Medicago truncatula: one gene and its partners. The protein of the gene in region 3 binds, or shares a complex with, the protein of the main gene of each other region. Links are inferred from orthologs where the notes say so. Each region holds a gene or a part of one and is shown on either strand. Other genes may lie near its edges.

Region 1 (6,981 bases), on a different chromosome or scaffold from region 3:
TTATCTAAACTCCTCTTTCAACAGGCTTTCTTTTTCAAGTTCTTCATCCAGTTCTCTCTGCAAAAGCTCCAGATCCGCATCAGCAGCAGTCTCGGATCTAGCATGCTCAATTTTCTGTTTGTGCGAATCTATTTTTTTCTGATAATCTGATTCAACTAAGCATTGGTCAAGCACATAATACAATTATACAATCAAGAATATCTACGCATAATAGATAGCATTGATATGAGCTAGTTGAGCTAAAAGGAATTACTTTAGATGGGTGGCTATTAATAGTGCATCACGGAAAATAGCAAGAAAGAAAAATTCCGCTATGTGGAATACCGGATAGCGGAAGCCACATATCGGTTGGAATAAATCAATTATGTAACTAAAAAGCATGCTATATACAAATAAAAATAAGCTGAATACAGATAAAAATCAACTGTATAAAGTGACAAAATTAACTCAAAAAGCTCAATTGTTCATAATTCTGACTAGTGATTACTCAAAGCAGTAAATAATGATTGAACATAAAAGACAAAAGATCTATTCATTCTGGTCCCCTTTTCCAATATAATCATCATTCTTGTTGTCAAATAGTGAATCGCATCTTTCAACTTCTACTTTAGAATCCTCAAAATCAATTTCTTCTAGTTCTTATTGATTTTTGGTTTTGGCCATCCTTATATACAACTTTCCAATTAAGGGCATCATCATAGTAGGAGACTAACAGGAGAATCACTGAAAACTCATTAGAGATGGAGCAGGACATATAGAAAGGGAATGGAGGCAGAGCTCAACAGCTGGGGGGGTTCTGAACACTGCCACCCTTCTACAAAATAACATAGTCCTCATAATAAAACCATACCAGAACACAATGCCAAGGTAAACTCTAATAACCATCTGATTCTTGCAAGATAACTTCAAAAAAAAAAACACACACTCAATTAGCACAAACACTTCTCCATATTGACAAGCCCATCATGTAGAATTCTACAGGCTTCCACGGTCTGCGTCCTGTTGTGCTGACCAGAAACTTCTGCATAAACAGTGCAGCTGGATGTGCACCACCACCTCCAATCTATTAATTATGGTGAATTAATCTCATCCACTTAAATGCCACCCACTTCCTATGATCTACTTTCTGCCACCAGATCAAACTTGTATTTTGAAAGCACTGCATCCCATTCCTCCAGACCCACGATACAACCGTCTCCTGTTAAACCATACCACCTCATTCATAAACTTTATCATAGTTATATACGACTCCCCAAACATATTAAAGGCTGAGAACTATTGAGATATTGGCTACTCAATTCCTAGAATTTGGACCTTCAACCAATTCCACAATGAGATCTTTACCGATTCCAACATCTCGTCCAACTCAAATGATTTTCTCCCAAAAACCATTTTATTTCTGCTTTTCCACATCGCCATTGACCCCCTGCTCACTCAACATCGTCAATCAATTTCTCTTCCCTTTGAAACAACCTCTTTTTCCAGCTGCATTTCCATTCCCGTGTTTCTTAGACAAAATTACAAACTCCATTCACCTTAGCCTCGTTGTTGTTTGCTATGCTATACAATCTCCAACATCTATCTTGAAAGGTGCCATCTACTATCCATTTGTCCAACCAAAATATTGTATAGCTGCCACTTCTCACTAACTTTCTCATTCTATCCAAACAGCAATTATTTTGAGATTCCCATATTCCCTTTTCCATCGCTTTGCTGTCTCGCCACCAACTGGATTCATTACCAACCACACGCACTCCATCTTGGCTTCCATATTTAGCCATTATCGCCTTTGTGCACAAAAGTTGTCTTTCCACTTTGAGTCTCCACACCCATTTTACAAGAAGTTCTAAATTAAAACCTCTCAAATTCTGTATACCCAACCCACTCTCCCCATATCTCTCTCAACACACTCTGTCCCAACTAACGACCCAATGAATTTTTCTACTTATCATCAAAATCTACGTACGGCGCTATAGAACTATAGTGCCGCTATTTCCGTATTTTAAAGCATTGCTTTAGAACGAAACAGTTCCATTGTCATACCAGACACTCACACAAACTACTTCCAGTTGAATTACAAGTGAACTTTGTATCAAATCGAACAGCATTTCTTATTTTCCATTATTATGACTTAACTATGTAACTGATACCACATCTAAGACAATGATAGAGAAAGAGAATGCAAATATTGAAAAACCATATTGCAAACTTCCACTCCATTTTTACATAGTTATACTCTTCAAGTTTTGAAACTGTTAACAAACACCTTAATTGCACATGCAACACCTCAAATAAATAAATAAATTACACACTAGTACTAAGAGATCCAATCCAATAGTTCTCCATATAACAATCCCAATTGCCAAATAAACATAACATAGCAAATAATCACAGCCACAGTAAGTGTAAGAAACATGAAAACTTAAACCTAAATCCCAATTTTTTCTGACTATCATTGTTTGTGAATTTCAACTATTAATATTCATACCAAACTTAAAATTAGCAAAGTAAAACACCAAAAGAACAAACAGCAAATAAATAATGATGGGCAACACCAAAAATCGAAAACCCAATAAAAAAAAAATCATAAAAATGAAAACTTTAACAAAACAACCCAAACCCCGTAATTATTTTGTGGTAGAAACGGAAGAGATAGAAAAAGGCAAAAGAGTAAATTGACCTTGGAACGAGGAGAGAACCTCATTGAGGTCGGAGTGGCAGGAGGAAGAAACGGAGAGTGTGTGGTGGAGACATTGAGAGATGATGTTGAGATCACGGTCATTAGCGGGATCTTGCAAAACCTCAATGAGGTCGTTGCTTATGGAAATAAGCTGATCCACGTCGAAGTTTCTAGAAGAATCAGAAGCCATTTATGTGGAAGAAGAAGAAGGTGGTTTTTCTTTCGTTCGAAATTGGAAGAAGAAACGAAATTGGAGTTGATGAAAGTAAACAAGGTTTCAAAATTGGGGTTCTTTTTTTTTTTTTTTCCTTTGAGTCGGAGGGAAACACTTTCTTTTGATTAAACCAAGAGAAATGACATTCTACGCTCATTGTGACAACTTTTAAATAACTTTCTCTCTAATAGTCACGTATATTTTTATTCTCTCTATTTCTTTGTCTCTCTCCATTGTTTTTGATAGATTGTCACCAAAGTTGTCATCTATTGGATGTACAAATATCACTACTCTTAAATGAATATTCCCTCGGTCTCAACGATTGAAAAAAAAAGAAGTATAAATTGCATTTTTGGTCAGTTAACTATTTAGGTAGTATTGCTTTGGTCCTTTAATTAAGATTCGATTTATTTTGGTCCTTTAACTTTCTCTCTGTTATACCTTTTGGTCTTTTCCGTTACTTTTAATTCAAAAACGTTAGTGTTTCTTCATTTTTTTTTGGAATTTTTCCTGGATTTTTGTTGTTGAAGGTTGATGGAAATGATATGAAGATGAAAAACAGGAGAAGAAAATGAAAAAACTCTAACGTTTTTTAATTAAAACTAACGTAAATGACCAAAATGTGTAACAGAGAGAGTTAAGGGACCAAAATAAATCGAATTTTAATTAAGGGACCAAAGTGATACTACCTAAATAGTTAAGGGACCAAAAATGCAATTTAGCCTAAAATAATTGATCCATTTTATTTTTTTTAATACAATGTTAATTATTATTTTTTAATTATAACTTTAATTAAAATTATTTTCATCAATCTCAATTCAATATATTCTACTTTGCATTTATGATAATGAAGAATGCATAAATACTTGACAAGACACTCAAAATTATTTTCCTCTCTTCATCAGATGGAGGAAATAGTTAGTATTAAGATTAGATTTTTAAAAAAGTTATATAACCCCTTTCGATAGGAGTTGGAATCCTCTTCATTTAAAGAACATCGTTAATTGAAGAGAAATGGACCATTGAATACAATAATTTTTATTGTCAAATAATCTAATAGTTAAAATTCACCTTTTTAAAATAAATAAATAGGATGTTGTAACACCCCGTTTCCCAAAAATCAATTAATTAATAAAACATGCATCAGAGTAATTCCCAAACGGGCATGTCACACTTCATTTTCAAAATTTTTTAAGTAGAATATAAAATCTATTTAATAAACGTCCTTCAAAGTCATCATTAAATTTGCAGCGGAAAATTTGCATCAAAACAACAACAGCAACAGTTTAAATCTCCATAATTAAATCTTTGGCATAAAAGCCTTATCAACATAAATTCAACAACCATAGGGCTACGTCAGCAATATTCAAAATTGATACATAGGAATGAAAAACAATAAGAAAATCCCATCCCGTACGTATCAGAGCCCTAGACACTTTGAGCCACCACTTCTAATAAGCTTCAATACCTGCAAGTTACCCATACGAAAGGCAACAATTCCAAGCAGAAGGGGTGAGATTCACAAACAATAATAATAGATATATAAATCATCAACTTAATTAAATAACGTAATAAGCAACATATATTCCCACAATAATATTTATACTTCTTCAACTTTAATAACTCTTACTAAATCAACCAACAACGACAACAACAACTCGACCACAACAACAATATCTCCATCAACAACAACGACCACAACACAACCTACAACAACCACAATATCACCATCAACGACAACATCATCCACTACTTCAACGACAACAACGGCGTGGTACTATTTTCAACACATTGAATGACTAAGCATTCCGGGGCATAAGCCCCCCACAATTTGAATGATGAACATTCCAGGGCATGAGCCCTCAACAGATTGAATGACAAGGCAATTCCAGGGCATAAGCCCTCAACGGTTGAATGATTAACATTCCAGGGCATGAGCCCTCAACAATTTGAATGGCAAGGCATTCCAGGGCATAAGCCCTCAACGGTTGAATGACGAGCATTCCAGGGCATGAGCCCTCAACGGTTTCCTAATCATGAAAGGACTCGACTTGTGTATATCAGCATACAACTCAACTACGACAGCAACAACATAGGCAACGACAACGATCGTGCATAATAACTCACTCACTCCCCAACTTGGTCAACATCAACAACCTATGACTCCGTTACTTGGAAACGACAACTCGCCACTTACAACTCGAACCAACACATTGTACATTCTAATTGAATGCAGTTAAGTATAAACCAGCGATCATTAACAATCATAATCAATCAACAGCAACACAACAGTATACGTCAGCATGATATGATAATATTTTATACAATCCAACGATGTCTAGCATTATCACATAAACCAAGTATTACTTATACAATTTTATCACATTAATAACCTCAATTTGCCATAACCAGCTTCACAGTTCATCATTTATATCCTATACATCTTTCATTGCTATCTCAAAGTTCAGCTCACAACCTCTCATGCGACAAAGCCACATGAAAATCCTAAACAAAGCAATCTGTCAAGCACTAGCTCGCGAGGCGAGAGCCTCTACTCGCCACGGCGAGTTAGGGTAAAACACTCTAGATTCCATTCTGACTCTATTCTGAGTTCAAACTCAATCTAAAACTTTGCCTAATCATTAAGGTACATGTTCAGGCCCTCATAAACATCTAAGGTTAAACTCACAGCTCAAAATCACGAGATCTTGCAAGCTCTCTGGTCACACTCGCTACGGCGAGTAAACTTGCTCGCTATGGCGAGCTGCGAAATGCAACTCGCGAGGCGAACAACTCCTGCTCGCGAGGCGAGCGATGATCTTCATCACTCGCTACGGCGAGGATCATCTCTCGGGAGGCGAGCGATGAATAACAGTACGGGCAGATTACAGTTTTTCTCAAAAATTCACCCAAACCCATTGTTCTAACCTTAAAACTGATTCTAAACATCAATATATGAAACATCTAAGGTCTGTTCATCATTTCTACATCAATTCACCCTAATTCCATCATTTAATCATCAATTCTCTCCTTAACCCTAATTCTCAATCCTCCAAATTCATTCATAACTTTTGTCAAACAGAATCAGAATTATATAAACTAAAATCATTGCAAGTTAGCCTCACCCTTACCTTAATTCAGATGAACAAAGCTCTACAATTCTGATTTTCTTCACCTGGCTCTCCCTTGGTTCTCTTGCTTTCTCTTGTTTTCTCCCAAAACTGATGTACGTGAAAACAGTTTCTCTCCTCTTTCTAACTTCTCCCTTTTCTTTTCTAAACCTAATTCAACTTCCTCTATTTCCACTTAATCCCACACAACTCTCCTTATTTCTAAATCAGCCCCTTGAACTCCAAATATTCTAAATTCCCACTTATTCTATTAAATAGTAAAATAATTCATTTAATAAAATATGACACACCACATAATCAACATAATTATATAAAATCATATATAAAAAGACTTTAAATCAACCAATAATAATTAAATAAAATTGGGGCGTTACAGATGTTGTGTCTGATGTTCGAACTCGACCTATAAATATAGAATGTAATGTTTATATCAACTAAGTCAAGTTCACATGGACAAATACAACAATATTAATTGAATAATATGATTATATTCAATAGATTTATCTCTCTTGAAATGATAGTATCTATTAAATAGAAAGGATCTTTAACTCTCTCAATAGGACTCTCATCGGAGTCTAATGATTCCTGGTTTGGATTTCAGTTTAAAAAATGTTCAAACCGATCAAATTAGAATCAATTCAGTTTGGTTTTCAACATATCAATTTGATTTGATTTTTCAATTTCATCAATTTTGTCGGAACCGTTTACACTCTTAACTCTCATTTTAATAATGTAGATATATGCTTGCAAATTTCAATTACAAGTTTCTCTATGAGTATAAAAAACAAGTTTCTCCAAGAAAATTAAACAAATGTAAGAAAAATATATATATCTCCTGCTCAAGAAGATTTTAAATAATTGTCATTCAATAATGAATATAAGCTGTGTTGTTTAACGAGGTATTAAGCATGGTGTTTCTGATTTTAGTGCAATTATTAATGACTGCAAACGTCTCT
Region 2 (6,842 bases), on a different chromosome or scaffold from region 3:
AGATTCTCCAGGATTGACTGTTGTTAGAACTAAGCTCCCTGTTTAATAGCAATTAGATAAAGTTACATTCATTACAAGCAACCCTTTCATCCAATTTCCAACAAGCGAAGATACTATTTAATTAGACATGTGAAGAAAATATATTAAGAACAATTATACTTATATTCATATAATAATAAGCTAATGAGAAGAATATCAAATCAACTAGAACCATGTTTGAACAGTTCAATAAGACATATGAACTGGTAAAACATTCATTCAATAAATTTTCTTCAAATAATGAATAAACATCATTATAATATGAAGTATTTGGAATTACTATTATTATTAATAGAATCACTTCGTATTGGAGCTCTGCATATTTGGAATTATTATCATTTTACAATTCAAGCGGTCTTTTCAGTCTCCAATATGCAGAGCTCCCACATCACATGCATGCACTCATTTAAAAGATAGAAACAAACATTGATACCTTGTACCAATGCTTCTTGAAATTTTTTCCTCATTACTCTGACAAACTTAAACAGACCATCTGTCTTGTTTAATTCATGGACCAGCTCTTCAATACCATCGAAGGAAGGTTCACAACGTAACACTGAAAGATAAAAGAGATGGTGTAGGTTTCATGAAGTGTATATACACTGAATATTGTATAAAATCATAAATGCAGGCTGCTTACATGTATAAGTATTTTTATCATGGAAGACAGTAAAAGAGTACTCCTCATTTGGATTCTTCAAATTTATATTCTTGAACGTGAACTTTACCCCTGAAGAGCATAACTAATAAGGATATCAACTTTGTGAAGAAGAATAAAAAGAAACCTTATGCAAAAAAAGTTAATTGTCAATTACCACGTCCCCCTTTGACATGAAAACCAAGTACCCTGTTATACCAAGAGATGGCCTCATGTGTTTCGTCTGTATGTTCAATGCCTTCATTCAACCTCCCTTCAGATGCTGCCAAAGCTTCATATGGATTAAAAGAGAAGACGAGGGAGGTGAGAGGATATCTTATAAAAGTACATAACATTTCTTTTAACGAAGTAATTTCAAGTTTAGTAAGTAGAACAAATCAAATAGAATATATAATAGAGAAGAAACGCAAAAACATAGTTCCTCAATCAAAACTTAGAATGCATAACATCTGTGCAACAGCTAACATTCATACTTTTTTTCTTGAGAAAATGTGTTCAGTATTTGTAAACAGTTCATACATTCAAAAATAATGGAAGTGGGCATCATGATATCGGTCAAACATAAAATCTCCCGATTTTGTACAAGACAAGCTTTTTTGAAGCCCAAATTCATTAATTCTACCACTTTGATACACAAAAGGGACCAACGATATCCCATTACTTCATTACAACTTTAAAAAAAACCCTAAAAAATTTAAAAAGACTGACGGTGCTTAAACAGATGTAGTAAACCAATGCCTGTCTCCCGAGAAGTCACTTGGTTGAGATTCTCTCTTCAACCTCAAGAAACTTGGTTCAAGACCCGGCACCAGAGATGTAGTAAACCAATAACCACCCAGCAAACAGAAACCCCAAAACGACCACAACATAGTTACAAGCTTAAGAACTACGACCACGACAGTTCAAACTTATAAATACATGTTCTGTAAAAGCAATTAATGAAGAACGTATGAGTTATGACAAACCCATTGTTAGAAAAACATCCTTCAAATCTTATTTTATAACAGGCGAACTTAAAATCTTCAAAAATGATTTTACAGGTTGCATGATAATCCATGTCTTACTAGTTCTATGCTTCCAGAAGAAAAACAAAGATTTACATGTTGAAGTAGCTACTAAAAAAAAATGTTAGCGTCTAGACATGACAACCTCATAGTACATGTAATCTCGATACTTATGCAAGATGGCATTTGGCTACTTTATGTTTAACATACATTGTGTGCACAATATCAAATAGATTGAGCAAACATCAAATATATGTCCTATAAACAAATAAAAATGTAGACTTGAATAGGGAACAAGTTACAACCATGTCCAATCATGATGTCGACAACCATGGATTAGCTTATTTTTTATCTCATTAAAAATAGCTTATGCAAATAAATAAGTTTTTATGTTAATTCATAAGTTCCCACTAGTGAAAATTGTATTTTCTCAAAGTTCCCACTAATGAAAATTGTATCTTCATAAGAGCTGTTTTTTCATAAACTACATTGACAAGCTTATGAATAAGACATAAAAGCTTATTTATTTGTATAAGTTGTTTTTCATAAGCTCAAAAATAAGCCAATCCAAACGGGCACTAAGTCAATGTTAAATTCCTTCACCAAACAGGGTTTGAATCTGTAAAAACATAAAATACTTAAATAGCTACAAATTGCAGCATTTGCAGGAAAAAGAGGTTAATTACCGAGTGATTGCTGCGATAGAAACGAGATATATTCTTGTTTCCTCGTTCGAACCTCTTGAATACTTGAGTTGAGATTTCCAACTCTAGCCTTAGCAGAAGCAATAGCATCTAACAAAGCCATTCGCTTAGCCTCTTTACGCGTCTTTTCTGAAAAAACAAAAACAAAAAAAGTTCACAAATTTTCCCTTACTTAAAACAAATAAGCTTAAAATTGAAAACCCTAATACTTATACAAACCAACCTGCGAGTACTTTAACCAATTCATCTTCCACTTCCTTCAATTTGTCTTTAACCTCTTCTAATTGAACTGAGAAGGAAAAGTAAAAATGAAAACCCTAATATGAGGAAAAGAGTGAAAGTGAAAATTGAAAGATGAAACCCTAAAGACCTTGAGTTTTCGCGGTTTGTTGTCCGGTGGTTTTAATGGATTGGAAGGATTTGGAGACGGAAGCGGCAAAGGCGTCGATGGTGTGGATTTGTTGAGTGATTTCTGAGTCGCGATGGGTTGAAGAAGTTGAACACTCCATCTTTCTGGACTCACTCGTATCCAGTGTTTTTGAATTTCATGAGTTAGAAAAAAAAGCTCGAACGTTGTTGTGGTGGGCCAGTTTCTCAGTTAAACTATGTAAATGAAAGTGTACTTTGGTCATTCAAAAACATAAATTACATCTCCAATTCATTTAAATAAGGATTAATTAAGTTTTTAGTCCCTATAAATATTTAGAATTTTGTTTTTAATCCCCATAAAATAAAATCACATTTTTTAATCCTTATAAAATTTTCCATCAACATTTTTAGTCCTTATAAAATTTTTCATAAGCATTTTTAGTCCCTATAAAAATTTTCCATTAGCATTTTTAGTCCCTAAAATGCTTAAGGAAAATGTCACAGGGACTAAAAAGTGTGATTTTATTTTACAGGGACTAAAAACTTAATTAACCCTTTAAATAATGACTATTATAATATCTAGTTCATCATAATTACACGACTTGTTGTAATTTTGTTTTTCTATAAAAGAGTCTAATTTGAGGCCTATTTCGTTTAGTCAGTGAGAATCACATTGTGTCCTGAGTTGCATATCGTGTCTATTACTAGTTCATACAACTCTCACGGATAAAAATGACTATGATACTGTAAGTCATTATTGGTCGATGATGGGATAAAACTGTAAGTGCACGGTTTATCGATGTAGTAATAAAAAGTATCGTTTTGATAGGGAGTTATGAATTTACTTAACTTTCAACAATGATTAGAAAAGAGTTTTAGTTTGCAAGTTTGGATTTTTAATTAAAATAAAATAATAAAAATAAAAGCGCATTGTGATTATTGGTTCATCTAAATAACAAGTCCTTCACAAACAAACCCTAAACCATAATTTTATATTGGATTTACTTTCTAAAGACAAGTTTCTCTTTGAACCCTTGAAACCCTTCACAAGCAAACTTTGTGAGTGTGGTCCTCTAGCAACCACGCATATTTTCATGGTTGGTTGCTATTAGAATCATTGAAGTTCGAAACTTTATATGTCTCAAGGTTTGCTAGACTATTTTCATGTTTCGCAATCCTTGTCTAAATTCATTTGTTCCAATATCAAAACTCCACTTTTGCTTTATGAATTAATATTTGAGATGATAAATTAACAATTACTAACCCTCCACTTTCGCTTCTACAGTTTGGTAATTGTTAATACATGTTAAAACGGTGAATTTAGATTAGAAAGTAGATTTATATAAAATTAGGGCTCAATGCTTGGTTTGATTAGGGTTATGTCATTTAGACTTACCCAACAATCCCAAGACAAGAAGAGTCTACTCACTCACGTTCATTGTAGACATAGAAAAGAAGAAGAAGAAGAAGAACATAAAATAAAGGTGAACTTTTATTCAAAGAAACAATTGTCACTTATTATTTCAGATAACAAAAGATGAATTGTTGTGATAGCTAGCTACTCTAGTTATAGCCTTATGTCGACTTAAAACCTAAGCAACTATTCACTAGAATGTTCCACAAGAAACCACGGGCTTTTAGATCAAAATAGGTAGCTTGTTTCCGAAGCAAAAGCAGCAAAAGAGCACCCTGAATCAGCTTCTAATCCTCTTTCTTTTGCTCCAAGACTCAATCTATCAAATATTCGTTCATGAAATATAACAATATGCAATTGAAGTAAAATAGTTCTAAAAGGAAATAATATTTAAATAAATAAACTTAAAATCTAAATAAAACAGAATCAAATATTATATTAAAACTACTAATTATTGACTCATCAGTCGATTCTTAAAGAAGGATCGATCAGTATGTATGTTCATTCATGTTGGGTTTTATATATGGCCCATTATTTTATCTTTTATCAACTATTATTTAACTTGTGTTTTTTATACGTTTGATCTAAATTTATGTTTGATGTGCAAAAAAATATTTTTGGTGATTTAATGTTCTAAAATGTTGTGGTTCGGTGTAAAAAATTGTTTTAGTCTGACGCAGGAGTGGATCAGATCCTAACATCCAATCAATTTGTAAAAAGTGATCCTACAAAAAAACATAAAATTGAACAATTGAATTCTAACGTCTCATCTACAGGGGTCAGTTTCAAACCTTATACCTATTTTTATTTTGTGGTGGTCACCTATGACCTTGCATATATTATGTATTGTCCCTATCAACTGAGCTAACCTCAAGAGGACTAAACCTTGTAACTATTGATCCATAACTGATAGAGTTGGATCAAACGTAGCTCCCAAAATGTAGCGAATGGGAGTTCGGGTCCAATATGTTCGGGAGTTAGAATCCAAGGGAGGTATTTTGAAGTTTTTTAGGGGGCGTGAGCAATTTGAGAGTCCCCTAGAGCAATCTTCCTAATATATGTGAAAGCAAGGCCCGTCGAAACGCACAAAGGGCTATGATAATTGGGCATCTGCAATATTACTTTTCCCACCCTATACCTTTCCTCACGCGCCCTATTTTTTTTCTTCCAAAATACCCTTTGTCCGAAAAATATAATCCGAACTACTTCCGGAATATTAATTCCGGATTTATTCGTGGATTTTGGCACTTAATCACCCTGATGGATGAAGATGTCAGTAATGAATAGATGAATCCGGATTATATAATCCGAACAATTTATATGATTTTCGTATTATATAATCTGAAAAGTGTAAATCACCCCGTTGAAAGTCAACAAAAGTGGGTGGTGAACGATGGTTCCGGATTATATAATCCGGATGTTATAAATCTGTCCGGATTATATAATCCAAACTGCATCAGTATAGAGGCAGAAGTCATCTGTTTTGGCTGAGCCTATGTTTTAGAGTAGATTTAGTCAATGTTGTTGGCCTTTGACCATATGCAGACCAAAAAATCAAGTTATAAAATCGAAATTAACAACACAATATAATTTTCAAACATTAATAAAACATAATTATCCAAATGTTACATAACATTGTGATCCAAAATATTCAAACATTAAAAGTAAATAAAATACAATCAATCCCTAATAACTACACCCTAGCACCTCTGCCACCACCCCTGCCACCATCAGTAGCTCCCCGACGACGGTAAACTTTCCCGTCATTCACCTCTTTCAACGCGTCCTCCAAATGTTACCATTCCTCAGTCCTTTTCGGCACCAGACCACTTCTCATCACAACATAGATGTGGTCTCTAATGCGGCTCATCCTTCCGCTAAGCTGTAAGTAGGCAAGGTCTCCATCCTTCTGAGCAGCTCGCGCATCAAGGATCTCACGCTCCAATGACCTCGGCACCGGTACCGACATGTTTGGAAGAATCATGTGTGGATGGGAATGTCGATAAAACCAATCGGTATATCCATCTTCTGCCTCCACACCATGAACTGCAGGCTCTACCAACTGCTTAGGTGTCAACGCATAATCAAGTGCACGGAGAAAGCGGTTTGTGATCTCCGCCAAATTAACATCAACAACTGCACCCTCAACGGGATGTCCCGGTATGGTCTGAACCCACCCAAACTGACGAAGCACCCTCTCCGGCAGATATCTCACCATGCGGCCTCTGAATCTCAGCCATCCAGAGCAGGCCAGTCTCGTGTGGGCCACCAGGATAGTCATTTAGTGGCTCAGGGTCCACCACCTTCTCCTTCTTCTTTCGCCTTTGTCGTGGCTCGACATCTTCCATTTCCTCGTCCATAGCATGCAACTCCTCCTCAAGTTCCTGATCCTCCATGTGCTGCAAGCCCACATCAGGCTGCTCTTGCTGCAAGTCCATATACTCTTGCCACTCTGGCTGATGCTCGACACCAGGCTCTACATCAGCATGACGTCCTCTAGCACCCAGACGCCTCGAAGGAACACCACCTTCATGCCGTTGGCTACACGCTCTCCTACGGGAAGCATGCTCTGCCTCCCTTACGCGCCGAGTATTAGATGTTGAACCTTCTGTAACATTCAAATTAGGGTAATCAATCATAACAATCAAACATCA
Region 3 (7,243 bases):
TGAACTAACTCGTTACTACAAATATATAACTGCAAGTTACATGTTACATATCACAAATATAGATATGCAATTAACATTTAGTGTGCCTTTTTTCTTCAACATTCCCAGTTTGATTATCATTTACTAGGGTAAGCCAAAGCTTGCAATAAAAAGGAACGGATTCAACACAGTACGAAAAACATGCTAGTTGCGGAAGTAAGAAATTATGTCAAATTATGCACTCATATTCTTGCACAGTATAATACAGCCAAAAAAATGATTGAAACACAAGATCAATGGGTAGCAACTAGCATCTTAGGAAAAAATCCAAAAACTAAACTGGCACGAAATTGGCCAATCAATGTGGAATGCATATTTACAGCAAATTTTGGTCACCTTCCAAGTTCATTGAAACACAATAAACATAACAATGACAAACAGATGTTCAAATATTCAATACATATAACAACTACCAACGCCTTTTACCCCAATTTGGTTCAAATACAACTGATTTTACTATTAAAGATAAAAATAAGAATCCGGATTTTACCTTTAGAACCTCAGCTGCCTCTCTTTCCATAATGCCCACATCATGATCAGCTAGCTGGATATCGTCCGATATCTTCTTAGCTTCGGCAGAACATCTATTTCTGTAGTCCTGTGTTTCTTTCTTTATCATGTCCCTTTGAGTTTCCAGCTAGTGAATAAATCAACAAGCAGTAGAAAAGAAAAGTCAAACAACAGTCTTTACAAGGCAAGACAATTTATGTTTCAAATGCCCTTCTAACTCCAACAAAGAGTGTAACATAAACATTGTCAGAAAAAGGAAGAGTCGGTATGAACTTGATTTGTCATCTACAGCAAAGAATTTTCCTTTTAATAGTATTTTAATTTTGTTTTCCGGTCACATACTATATCATTTTCTCTAAGTGTAAAGATAACAACTAAAAACATAAATAAGAACTAGTAGACAGTAGTGCAACAAGTAAGAAACACAGGCATGAGCCATCAATTCAACAACATTACCCCTGCATCAGCTTCCACATTCTAATTCCTTCAGGCCAGCACCACTCTGATACCACACTGTTCACACATAATCAATCTCTATCCAAACTCACTCTCTCAGTACATCAAATTCGACAATAATCAATCTAAGAAAATTAGGATTCATGTCCTTCATGTAATGCACAAGCACACATCGCACAATAAGTATTAAAATCAGTACTAAGAATGAAAAAATACACTTACTTGATCAATGCGTGACTGCAGTGCAGCAAGTTGATTTCTTTTCCCCTCAAGCCTAGCAGCATTTTCAGCGGACTTTTTCTGAAGGGAAACCAACTCTTCCAATTTCACCACCGAACTTCTCTTGATGTCATCAGCATAGGATTCAAGTACAGGCTTCAGCATGACTTTGTAATCAAAACCCATGATTTCAGCAGGCGTGGTTCCCTTGGGATTCAACACATACTGAATGTCATTACCAATCTTCAACCTAGAAGCACATGAAATGAAACATTTGCTTAGTAATTAATTCCCTCTTAAGATTAACACAGCGAATGAATTTGTCTAGTCTAAAACAAATAGCCAAACAGTGCACATTCAACTAGTAAATATGATCAGTGTTTTCAATTGCTGATAGTGTAAAATAGAGGATTGTTAAATTTCGCTATGCAATGGTGCTATAGCACCACTATAACAACCACTATTTGACAACATTTTGTACTATATAACATAACGTATCTCAAAACAATAGCGGTTGGTCCAAAATCTGCTATACTATAGCAGCAATTTAACAAATGATTATAAAACAAATGGGGCACAGTAAAATACATGAAGAAAATAAAAGAACCTCCTAAGGGCCAGGTTGCAATCGATGGAGAGAGCCTCTAAGTCTTTGATCTTATGCGCGAGAGTGCTATCAACTTCCCAACACTTCTCCTCCCAAGCATTTCTAGCAAGTTCCGCCTCACTAGCATCCCTCTCAGCAGCCTGCAACTCCTTCTTCATCCTATCCACATCTCTCGCATTAAAAGTCTGCAACTCCACTTTACTCTTAAGCTCCTCATTCTCCTCAACAATCCTCTCATTCTCCACCACCTTAGCCTCCAATTGCTTCTCCTTCTCCATCAAAACCCTCTCCAGCGGATCAATCCTTGACCCAAACTCCTCGATTATCTTATGAAACTTATTCACATCACCTTCCAACACAGCCTTCTCTTTCTCAAGCTCATCCTTCTTAGACGGCGCGGATCTCACTTCCTCCAATTGCGCCTCCAATTCAACAACAGTTAGCTCCACAGCAGCCAGCTTCTCCTGAGCAACAGATTTCTCATGAAGAATCTTTTGGCGAATTTGATCCTCCATATCAAGAATAGCCTCGTCATCGCCTCTAATAAAATTAAGATAACTATTCAAACAATATCCAAAGAGAATATTATTGTTATGAAGAATAGTTGTTGTACTGGAGGAATTGGAGAGAGATAAGTTAAAATTACAAATCTGAACAAGCCAATGAATAAGACAAAGCATTGAAGGCCATTGATGCGGGGTAGCAGGGTTTTTAAGAATGGATTTATTAAGTTTAAAAGGGTAGTTGAAGAGTTTGAGAAGTAAAGGAAGATCGTCTTCGAGTTTTGTAACAGGAAATTCAAGGAGTTTGGTAAGGAAAATTAGGGTTTCGTGGATCTGTTTAGCGGAAGGGGAAGGAGAAGATTTGAAAGAGATGTGGAAATTGTGAGAGGAGAGGAAGGAGTTGATGGTTGCGACGGCGGATTGTTGATAGGAGCGGTCTTTGTAAAGGTCGAAAGAGGGGATTCCGACGGAGGAGGGGCGGCTGCTGACGAGACTGATGTCGGAGTCGCGGTGGTTGAGAGGGGTTGGTGGTGGGTAGGTGTCTTTGGGTTGGCGACGGTGGGTGGTGGTGGGTTGTCTCATTTTGGAGTGAGTGATGAATTTGAAAATGAAAATGAAGAGGTTTCCCTCTTCTTGTTGTTGAATGCAACGGGTATGTTGTGTGTGAGACTTGAATTTTGTGTCGGAAGAGGGAGAGTAGCTTCAAGAAACGTGGAGCGGATTTATTTTTAATTTTTAAATCGTGGAGTGGAATATTTTATTTTATTTAATTAATAACTTTTTTTTTAATCCCCTGTCAAAAAAAACTTTTATTTAATGTAACTAAATATTATAGAAATTACATATTATTACAAGCAGACAACAAGATGTATCGGTAATCGATTGCAAAATCAATCTTCTAATATTTTTTTTTTTTTTTTTGAAAAAAAAGACTGATTGAATTAATTAATTAGATCATGAATGTACATAGGTTGGGCTTGGTTAGGAACAGACTCCCACCAAATATTATTAGGTTTATCATGGGCAAGTTGGGCTAAAGTGTGTGCCACATGATTGCCCTGCCTATGAATAAAATGAAATCTACAATCATCTAACTGACCACTAAGCAAGCAGATTTCGCATAAGATAGCTCCAAGGTAAGTTCTATCTTTTAAAACAGGGTCTTTGAGCTTCTCTATAACATTTTTGCAGTCACTTTCAAAAATGATCTTACGAAAACCTGCAAACACCGCAAGAACCATTCCGGCATAAATTCCATAAGCTTCCGCCGTTTTTGCACAATAAAAACCATTCCTGCTCCAAGTCGCCGATAGCTTCACATTACCATCCTCGCCTCTGATGATACATCCTAAACCCCACCTTCCTTGGACTTGCAAATTGGCATCGGTATTAACCTTTACGAAGCTATGATCAGGACGTTTCCATTTTTCCGAAGAGGAAGCATGATTGCCATGGTTTGTGGAAACAACACTGGAATGGGAGGAGCCAGTTTCTGATACTTTCGCATTAGCTTTCAGATATGCTGAGAGGCTTGACGCTGCTCTTTGAATGATATGAGTTTCTGGAATGAGGATGTCTTCGTGGACAGCTTGATTTCGAGCATACCACAAACTGTAAGTAATAGCTGCTACTTGTATAACTGTGTTGCTATCTTTATTGAGAATAGTTTCCGCAATCCAGTCAGAGAATTGTTGGTTAGAAATACTAGGCATTTGAATAGATAGTTGGGATCCAAACCAAACTCTCTCTGAATGAGAACAACGCATGAAAAGATGGGTCATAGTTTCTTCTTTGATATTACAACGGGGGCATAATATGGAGCATTGAATTCCTCTTCTAAGTAAATTATCCCTCAGAGGTAGGGAGTTGTTTAGGATTCTCCATAAGAGGGATTTGTGTCTAGGAATAGTTTTAAGGTTCCATAATTTCTGCCAAAGAGTGTTATTGACAGAACTAGCTGAAGAGTCATTGCTAGCCGTAGCTTTCCAGTTTTGAATAGCATTATAACCACTCTTGACCGTATAGCTTCCACTAAGATCAAACATCCACATAAGCACATCTGGTTTGTTTGGGTGAATAATGGGAAGCTGAGCAATTTGGGAGCTATCCATAGGCAGAAAATTTTGCTGAAGTAAATTATAATTCCAATCAAAGGGGAATTCAGTAAGTAAATCTTTAACCATAGGAGGGCTATTGGGGTTAGAGTAGATAGGTTTGTAACCATTATTATAAGGGAGCCAGTTATCACTTTGAATATGAACCTGATCTCCATTTCCAATCCTCCAGCAACAGCCTTTATTGAGAATCCAAATAGATTTTTGTAAACTTCTCCATGCATAGCTGGGATTGTAACCAGCAGTAGCCTTAAGGACATCAGAATTAGGATAGTACTTAGCTTTTAAACATTTAGCCAGAAGGGAATCAGGGTAAATGTGAAGTCTCCAAATTTGTTTAGCCAACATGGCTAAGTTAAAATCCCTGAGAATTTTAAAACCCATACCACCCTCCTTCTTCTGTTTGAATAAAATTTGCTTGGAAACCCAATGAATCTTCCTTGTGTGTTCAGTGCCACCCCACCAGAAATTACAAACTGCCCTTTCTATATCCTCACAAAGAGAAATAGGTAAGAGATAACAACTCATAACATAAACAGGAATGGCCTGAGCAACAGCACGAATTAAGACACCCCTACCTTCAAAGGAAAGGTTTTTTTCTTTCCAGCCTTTTAATTTTTTTCTTATTCTATCCATTATGAACCTAAAGTCATGAGACTTAGATCTGCCAAACTGAGTAGGGAGGCCCAGATACTTGGTAATATTATCACTGATGTTAATATGAAGGTTGGCCTTAAAAAGCTCTTTTGTACTATTACTAATATTAGGACTGAAAACCATATCTGATTTACTGAGATTCACTTTTTGGCCAGAAATAGCCTGGTAATGGGTAAGAATATTAGCAATATGAACAGCCTCCTCAGGTTTAGCCTTGCAAAAAAGAAGGCTATCATCTGCATATAGAAGGTGGGTAAGAGAAGGAGCATTAGTGGCAATAGAAATACCATGAATGAGACCCTGATTCTTGAATTTATGGATTAAACCAGAGAGCACTTCTGCACAAAGAATGAAAAGATAAGGGGAGAGGGGATCCCCTTGTCTAATCCCTCTCTGAGGGAAAAACTGTTCAGTAGGAAAGCCATTAATTTTGCTAAAGATAAGGGGAGAGGGGATCCCCTTGTCTAGGAGCCTCAGTTACAACATTTTTAAACAAACGATTATTACGCTCACTCCAAATCACCCAAGTAGTCAAAAGCCATATTAACTCAAGAAACGATCGCCTAGCTTTGGCAAAACCTGACAAACAAGTGAACTGCACGAAGTGATTAGAAATAATGTTGGAGTCGACCCCCACACAGCCTATCCAGAGCCGCAATTGCTCCCATAAATCCGCAAAAAACGGGCAAGATAGAAATAAATGATCTGATGTTTCAATTGAACCACACCCTGTGACACAGAGAGCCGTGTCTAACTGAAGATGCCTCTTGATGCCAAATTTGATCTCGTCGATAATTGATCCCTCATAAGACGCCAAGCAAATATCGACACCTTCAAAGGAACCTGATGATGCCAAACCAAATCCACAACACTATCCGTGATGGAGTTGACAGTCGCTGTTAACACCTCATAAGCACCTCAAACAGAATAACCTCCTATAGGGTTAGGAAGCCAAATCCAAGAATCTGAAATATCAGTAAACAGAGAAACATCAAGCAATAATGTCCTACACTCCTCTAAGACAATCTCCTCCCACGCCCACAACCTCCGCCTCCAACTCCACCCCTCCCCACCCCGCAACAACCTCAAGTTAGCAACAGTAATATATTTGTCTACAGCTAAATCGAACAACCTGGGAAACTGCTCTCTAAGGGGCGCCCCTCCACACCACCAGTGAAACCAAAACAACGTATCAGAACCATCACCCACCTTCCTACGCACCTTCCATTTTGCTGAATAGTGATACTTATACAATCATTTGTGACAGCTTTTGTGACAACCTTCTTTTGTTCTCTTATTAATCAAAAACAATAGAGAAAGTAAAATGAAGAGGAAAAATAAGAACATGTTGTGAGTATAAAAGAGAGTTATACAAAAAAATTGTTATAAAATGGTGGTACAAATATCATTCATATTTCTCTCTTCTTATACTCTAGTTATACCGGATGCAAAACCAGGTTTGTTAAAAACAAAACTCAATGGTATCATTCCTGATTGGTAGTTGATTGGGCACCCCCGCGAGAGCTGGTTTTGGTGGAATTATTCGAAACAATGTTGGATATTATTTATCAGGTTTCTGAGGCTATATTAATGATTCTTCTGACATCATGTATGCCGAGCTTCACGCTATTTACTAGGGGCTTATTTTGGCAAAAAAAACTTGAATATAATTGAGCTTGTTTGATATACCGACTCCTTGCATTGTATAAACCCCATCAAAGGCTCGACTATATGATACCATGTTTATGTTGTCTTGATTCAAGATGTGAAGGATCTAATCAGGCAAGGTAATGTAACTGTTTGCCACACTCTCAGAAAGGGTAATCAGTGCGCGAATTTTATTTTTGTTCATGGTTATCGAAAATATATATCTCTACAGCTTCCTAAAAAAAAGTCTGATTTTTTTATACTTTAATTGTAAGCTTTCCAATACCCTGATATTAAGTTATGTATTTTGATCATAAGTTTACATCAACACAATTTTATATAGGGTATAATATAACATGTCAATTTCAGATAGTGTATTTTGATTAAGTCATCTGCGTACAGTTTCATTAAAATGCAATGTTATAAAACATTGGAAAATAATAATCTGAGTTTAGGTTTCATAATTTAGGTTGATTTAATTTTGCTTTCAA
Region 4 (7,154 bases), on a different chromosome or scaffold from region 3:
GGCAGTCTTCTCATGGAAATTGTGCATGGCTAATCTTTCAGCATTTCTTGCCTCCTCTCGAGCTAATTTCTTTTCCTCTAGAGCTCTCTTCATGCAAGATAAGGGAAGCAAATTTAAATAGGTAGAGGCAGAAAGATAAAATCAGAGATTACTCTACACAGCAAGAACATCTTAAAATAAGCATGCAGTGTTTGTTCACCCGAACAGTGATAATAAATTCATGGTTAAAATAAATGTTAGTGCCTCTAGTCTCCTCTTACTTTCAATTTAGTTCCTACAATTTGTTTTCTTTTCAATTAAATTATCACACTTACAAACATCTTCAACAGACTGATTTAAAGGAAAAGAGCAATTATTTCAAGCAAATACCCAAAGGCTGAATTCATGAAACATGCTAATAACACTGTCAAATACCAGAATAACACTAACAGTGACCTGTTTTACGTCAAATACCATTTTTTAACATATGAACTATGAACCAATGAAGATAGTTTTTGGAAAAACGTATAAAAGAGTCTATTTCTACATTTCCATATCTCTGTCCTTCTCCCTTGGGTCTGCCTACCTATTTCCTACTACTACCAATTTCTTACAATTTCACCTCAAATCTCCTACAGCAATTACCACCGGAAGCACCCACACACAAAATGAATCAATGACAATTTGGTAGGAAGCATTAAAAACAGAACCACGGTGGAAGATTCATCATGATGTCCACCCACCGAGCCCACAAAGAGCTTTATACCAATTGATAGAAGATACGGGTATATTATTAGTTATTACTGAAAATGGGAATCCCTTTGATTACAAACAATGGCAGCACATTGAGGGTCTGCCTGCCTATGCTAAAAGGCCCTATTCCTCTCAAATGGCAAGATGATTCCATCTCTAATCCTCCTCTCTATTTATAGGCAGCATGTCTTATTTGGCCTAACTACCTCTCAAGTCTCAACTCAGCTACTAACTACCCATTAACCAATTAACTAACCTCTTAAATAACTACTTAACTAACAATAACAGACCTATCAAGCAGCCATTATGTTGTGACTTTGGTGTAATGCAACTATGAGTTATTCTTTTATGTTGGGTTGTGTAAACAATTATGCATTTTGAGATGCTACTTGTGTAGTCACAATTTTTTGATACAATAAAATTATGGAATATGAAGGACATAAATTATGTTGGATGATTTTTTCTCTGTTGCTGATATTGTCAGTAGCTCCTTGTTTTGCTAAGCGCAGGTGTTATGTTACAGCAAGCTTACCAGGCTAAATATGTATTAAGTTAATGTTAGCATGTGCACCGGTCACTACCCAAGAGAAGGTTGTGAGTCGCGAGAGTTTTCCACTGTGGTAACCACACAGAGGTAAGGGCAGTCCTATAAAACACATTTACAATATTCACACAGGAAGATGGGGTGGAAAAATGCAATGTCCATTACATTTCAAAGCTAAGATTGTAATAAGTTAGATTTTGTGAACAGAATAGACTAATAGCCAACATGAAAATGATACCTGTACTTTATCAGGCGATTGAGCAATTTTTGAAAGTAGATTTCCATGCTCTTGAACATTTTGTACCAGTTTATATTCAGCATCAGAAATCTGAGGTAATAACAAAAGGAAAATCGAGTTAGAAGTAAGAATTGTCATCAAGTAAAATAATTTATCACCAAGTACCAACACAGGAATTAATATATATTATAAACTGATCAGATTAAGCTGCAGTCTGCAATATATGTTCAAGTTACATAACTGACAGGGTTAAATGTCCTAATCCACCATTAATTATTCACATAAACATCTATGCCTTTACTGAAATGTATTCCATATACTACTCAAAAAACCCAACATCAAGAAGTAAGACTATGCAACTCATTATGCTAAACTTTCACTATCGGTTAAAGCATACCTTATCATCCATTTCCACAGTCTTCTCCTTCAACTTCTTTATTGTACTTCTCAATGACATCTGTTTATTGTTCAGGTTCGCAATAGTTTGACGCAACTCTTTAACTTTTGCATCCACCTCCTGAACAGAAGGCAATTCCCTTTCCCTCGCTTCATTGCATTCAGCAATCGCCAATTTCAACTATAACAGAATGAAAATCTATCAAATAAAACACCAATACCAACACACACAAAAAAATAAAAATAAAAATCATTCAATATTATAAACCTGTGTAATATTATTCTCTTCAATCTCAACTATCTTCTGTTCCAACGCGTTGAATTCGTCTACGATTTCTGATATCGCATTCAATCTCCCATCCCTGATTTTAAAAAATTTAACAATTAGGTTATGTTTTATTTTTCCTTGATGATTTAGCAGAAATGGTTGAAGAAGTGAGAGTAACGAACGAACCTGTCGAGACAGAAATTGAGAAGAGCTCCAAGGAAAAACTCGGTTCGATGAGGATCGGGTTTGAGAAGATCGGCAAAGTTAAATGTGTATTTCTTAGGACATTCAAGTAAGTTAAGCATTTCCTTGATCTTGTTGTAAAGCTTGATAGCATGAATAGATCCAACGTGAAGGTCGGGATTCTCGAGATGCTCTAGTGCATCGAAATCAAGCTGTCCGTTGTCTTCGCTGTGAGAAATTCAAAAAGAGAATAAAAATGAAGCGCGTGAAGCGAAGATTGAAGAGAAGGGAAAGGGATAGTTACTCGTGGAGAAAATCGAGGTAGTTGAGGATGCGAGTGTAGAGATCCAAAACGACGCCGGTTCTGGGGTTGGAGATGTCGTTCTCTGTAACGGTAGCAATTTGAAAGTTGTTTAGGAGTTGAACTATTTCTGGCCGGCGAAGCCTTGGGTATTCGTAGTTCGACATCGCCATGTTCTTCTTCAACCGCTACTCAGACGCAGAGATTGTTAAAGTGACCGTGTGTGTGATTCAAAATTGAAAATTGAAAATTGAAAATTGAAAATTTTGAGTCCCGCCCAAAGTTTTTTAGTATTTAGTAGAGTGATACACGAGCAGTGCGCGTCTGTACGGATCAAATCTATACAAAAATCAAAATTACTGGTGAATAGACAGACTTATTGCTCCTTCATTGATTTTTGTTCAATTGTACAAATTGAGATTGAACCAAAAAATAAATAAATGAAATTCTGGATAATTCTATAATGTAAAGATTTTTTTTAATTTTATTTTACACACTCTCAAGCTAGGTCTCTCACACAAAACTTTTTTATTTCTACAATACTCATTTTCTATTTTGAATTTCTAACATTGACTTCATTTCACACGTCACCGCTCATCGTTCCTCTAGTCCAATCTCATATCGTCACTTCTCTAACTCATTCTCATATCATCGCAAATCTCATGCAATTTATCTTCGGACAAACCCGATTATGTTTTCGTATTGTCATGTACTTGTTGAACCCAAATCTCATCAAATTTGATCGAATTCGTAGACATATTTAAATTTAAAAATTGGTTCGATCTAATGTGAATACCATATTCAGATCACATAAACCCGACTTAATCCGTTCTTTTTTTACCCTTAATATTCATATATTAATATCATAACAGCTACACCCAAATTATTATTACTATTATTATTATTATTATTATATGAAAAGACAGATATTGATATCATAATGATTGCACCCAAATGAACGTGTAAGGATGTAACATTACAAGCAAAGCATAACAAATGTAATTTATCTAACAAAAGTACAAAAACTCTGAATAAATTAAAATTAATCACCAAAACAGAACTTACTTCCCCATAATACTACTTTCATGGAGCCACCCAAAACAACACATCACAAGGCCCAAACAAACTTATTCTCTTGAGACAAGATCAGTCACCTTGATTCAAACAAACAGAACCGTAGGAAAAACTGATACTTAATTTAAGGAAACAGCTTCTGCATGATTCAACTAATATGAAAAGAGCAACTGGTATGAAATTTGCAAGGCACGCATATAAAAGTTGAATACATTATTGATACTTAAACTCTAGTATAAAAATCAAGCAGCATTGATGGCAATTTTCACACCAGAACCGCAGTGACCTGGAAAATTGCACATGAAGTAGTTTTGTCCCTTAGCAAGCCTGACCCGATCCTTCCCTGACCGATACACTTTAGATCCCCTTCTTGGAGTACTGCACTTATCATACACTTCTTTGGTTACTGCCACCACATTGTGAGTCCCTTGCCTATAGTTGAACACTGCACAAACATATGAAAAATTATATTTACACTCAAGAAATTGGATAATTATTAAAAGAGTCGTATAAAAAAATATCTTCTGTGTTATATTTTTTTTATTAGAATAATATTAAGATGCTTGACATAAAAGAAAAGAATAATGTTATTAACCATAATATTAAGAGGAAGCATTGAAATATGGATAGTGCCATATATATATATGGATTTGCTAAAACACACCCACTAGTTTTTATGTGGGAGTGTTTTAGCAAGCTACATCTTAAGGTGTATTTAACTACTTTTTAGTTAGGCTTAAATATGTAAAAGGTCCCTGTAATTTAGCGTGTTTTTGTTTTTAGTCTCTGTAAGTTTTTTTTTTCTAAAACAACCCTTGTAATTTCGAAACCTTTTGGAAATCATCCCTGACGTCAGGTTCCGTCAACAAAAAAGCATTGTTGGGTAACAGAGACACACGTGGCAGTTTCTGAGTTGGCAAAAGTTGCTGACGAAATGTTCATAGGGACGAAAACCAAAAACGCAAATGTTCATAGGGACGAAATTGAAAAAATGTAAATATCAAAATTTCAAATTTAAAAACAAGATGATCTTCTTCATCATCCCTCTTTTTTCTCTTGTTCATCTCCCTTCCCTTCCAATTTCTTTATCTCCCTAGAAAAAACTCATCCCCTCGTGGCAATGTCTTCTCATTCCAATTGTGAATCTCCCTTCCCTTGCAACAGCTTTTGAGGCTACTCAATCTCAACCAAATGTGAATTCAGTTTTGACAAACACACCCAATTACTATACTTAAAACAATTAAGTGATTCTGCATCTTTTGAAGCAGTTTTATTTATGTATATAACTTTATTACAAATTATCTTATTATTAAGTTTAATTACTATATTATAGAATTGTGTTTTCCATAGCTTTTCTGCTATGTGACAGTCAAACAACAATGTGGCAACTGCCTCCGTACAAACCTCTACACAAACTCAATCACATAACATTGGGGATACTGCCTCTGCATAGACTCAATTACCCACCAATGAGGCAGCCTAAACAATAAATTAAACATATTAAGCTTTTAATTAAATTAAACTTTGTTAAAATTATACAACAAACATAGTATTATAACAACGAACTCACCGTAAAGGTTGGACATTTTCAATATCTCCTTTTAGGGTTTTCATTTAAATTGGAGATGAACATCCTTATGATTTTGGAGATGATGTATTAGCAATGGAACGAGAAGACATTGCCACGAGGGGGTGAATTTTTTCTAGGGAGATAAAGAAATTGGCAGGAAAAGGAGATGTAGAAGAGAAAAAATAAGGATGAAGAAGAAGAAGAATATATTGTTTTTAAATTTGAAATTTTGACATTTACGTTTTTTTCAATTTCATCCCTATGAACATTTGCGTTTTTGGTTTTCGTCCTTATGAACATTTCGTTAGCAACTTTTGCCAACCCAGAAACTGCCACGTGTACCTCCGTTATCCACCAATGCTTTTTTGTTAACGGAATCTGACGGCAAGGATGATTTCCAAAAGGTTTCGAAATTACAAGGGTTGTTTTAGAAGAAAAAAAACTTACAGGGACTAAAACCAAAAACACGCTAAATTACAGGGACCTTTTACATATTTAAGCCTTTTAGTTATAACTTGCTAAAACACACCTTCTAAAAAATAAGTGGGTGTATCCTAGCAAATGCGTATAGGAGTTGCTAACATACACCCACTTATATTTTAGAAGGTGTGTTTTAGCAACATTCACCTTAAGATGTGTATTTAACAACTTTTTAGTTATATCTTTACTAAAACACACCTTAATAAAAACTAGTAGGTGTGTCCTAGAAAACCCCATATATATATATATATATATATATATATATATATATATATATATATGACTTTTTTTAATCAAGGCAGAGAGAGTAAAGACTTCCCTAGAAAAAACAAGGAGATGTGTTGGGGGGGGGGGGGTCACCAATATGGCCCTCATGTCGAATAGTATTAGGACAAAATAGCATCTTTGTATTTTTTTTTTGTACGTTTTCAGTTCTTAGGAGAAAGGGACTTTGATCATTTTAAATTTGATTGAAATGTAAGTAAAGTTTGACAAATAATTATTATAGATTTATGGTCACGATTGTATTAGAGTAAAATTTAATAATTCTCTAGTGATTGGAAGATACATACCAAGTGTGTCACCAGCCCTAAATCGTTTTCCTCGAGACCACCCAACCGTGTTAAAGGTCCAACCTACAGTACCTCCAACATTGTAGGTAGCAGCATGAACAAGCTCAGAGTTAAGAACAAAAAAGCAGACTAGTAGAACCACCACACTGCCTCTTCCCAGAGCCATGTTTTCTCTACTAGTACTTGCTAGAAAGCTGTGAAAGAAAGGGATTTGGATGTAAGAAAATTTGGAATAATGTGGTAAGGTTTTATAATTGAGGAATGAGTGAAGAGGTCTGCAAGAAATCTTATGGGAAGTTGGTTAGATAGTAGATACCATAGACGTGGGTCTGCCCAAAATATTCAATCCGTAATGATTCTTGAGATGTATGATTTTTAGCACAAGTTGTAATTGATAATTAAGGTACTATCAATTTATGATAATACTAGTATTATGATAGTGGTTCAAGTTAAACTCCACCAGTTCTAAATTGTCGATAGTACATTTGACTTTAAATTTGGTTTCATGGCACCAGCTTCGCACGTATGCCTGAGTGCTAACCCATTTCCTAAGATGGAACTCAACTAACAGCATATGTCAACCTCCCATGGCATAATTTTTCTTTGAAATGTCCTACAAGAAAGTACATTAATAGATGGTGATGTCATGGTTGACCTGGACTTATATTGTTATATAGTATTTCTCATTTTACTATTTTTTTCTGTAAAAAAATACTTATATGATCACAATCTCATAAAAATTATTTAAACACATATTTATTTATGCGTGTCTAAATGAGTTTTAGTTAGGTTTATG

Evidence for each region.
Region 1: kinetochore protein NDC80 homolog (region 3) and kinetochore protein SPC24 homolog share a complex: the UniProt entries of both Arabidopsis thaliana proteins name them as parts of the NDC80 complex. The link is inferred for Medicago truncatula from reciprocal best matches to the Arabidopsis thaliana genes AT3G54630 and AT3G08880.
Region 2: kinetochore protein NDC80 homolog (region 3) and kinetochore protein SPC25 homolog share a complex: the UniProt entries of both Arabidopsis thaliana proteins name them as parts of the NDC80 complex. The link is inferred for Medicago truncatula from reciprocal best matches to the Arabidopsis thaliana genes AT3G54630 and AT3G48210.
Region 4: kinetochore protein NDC80 homolog (region 3) and kinetochore protein NUF2 homolog share a complex: the UniProt entries of both Arabidopsis thaliana proteins name them as parts of the NDC80 complex. The link is inferred for Medicago truncatula from reciprocal best matches to the Arabidopsis thaliana genes AT3G54630 and AT1G61000.

Annotation. Positions count from the first base shown.
Region 1 is NC_053042.1:48,947,157-48,954,137, forward strand, and holds the start of kinetochore protein SPC24 homolog, read right to left. Parts: upstream 3,005-6,981; 5' UTR 2,871-3,004; coding exon 2,681-2,870; intron 147-2,680; coding exon 5-146; intron 1-4. UniProt on the Arabidopsis thaliana protein: Acts as a component of the essential kinetochore-associated NDC80 complex, which is required for chromosome segregation and spindle checkpoint activity to ensure proper cell division. Required for the maintenance of plant architecture.
Region 2 is NC_053045.1:51,670,361-51,677,202, forward strand, and holds the start of kinetochore protein SPC25 homolog, read right to left. Parts: upstream 3,001-6,842; 5' UTR 2,915-3,000; coding exon 2,776-2,914; intron 2,695-2,775; coding exon 2,629-2,694; intron 2,535-2,628; coding exon 2,388-2,534; intron 969-2,387; coding exon 855-968; intron 770-854; coding exon 680-769; intron 596-679; coding exon 473-595; intron 39-472; coding exon 1-38. Other genes in the region: uncharacterized protein, read right to left, coding at 6,333-6,796. UniProt on the Arabidopsis thaliana protein: Acts as a component of the essential kinetochore-associated NDC80 complex, which is required for chromosome segregation and spindle checkpoint activity to ensure proper cell division.
Region 3 is NC_053043.1:10,660,080-10,667,322, forward strand, and holds the start of kinetochore protein NDC80 homolog, read right to left. Parts: upstream 3,024-7,243; 5' UTR 2,917-3,023; coding exon 1,832-2,916; intron 1,475-1,831; coding exon 1,228-1,474; intron 677-1,227; coding exon 530-676; intron 1-529. UniProt on the Arabidopsis thaliana protein: Acts as a component of the essential kinetochore-associated NDC80 complex, which is required for chromosome segregation and spindle checkpoint activity to ensure proper cell division.
Region 4 is NC_053049.1:40,977,522-40,984,675, reverse strand, and holds the start of kinetochore protein NUF2 homolog, read right to left. Parts: upstream 3,018-7,154; 5' UTR 2,836-3,017; coding exon 2,666-2,835; intron 2,590-2,665; coding exon 2,365-2,589; intron 2,273-2,364; coding exon 2,179-2,272; intron 2,092-2,178; coding exon 1,912-2,091; intron 1,605-1,911; coding exon 1,515-1,604; intron 88-1,514; coding exon 1-87. Other genes in the region: basic blue protein, read right to left, coding at 3,979-4,181, 6,359-6,524. UniProt on the Arabidopsis thaliana protein: Acts as a component of the essential kinetochore-associated NDC80 complex, which is required for chromosome segregation and spindle checkpoint activity to ensure proper cell division.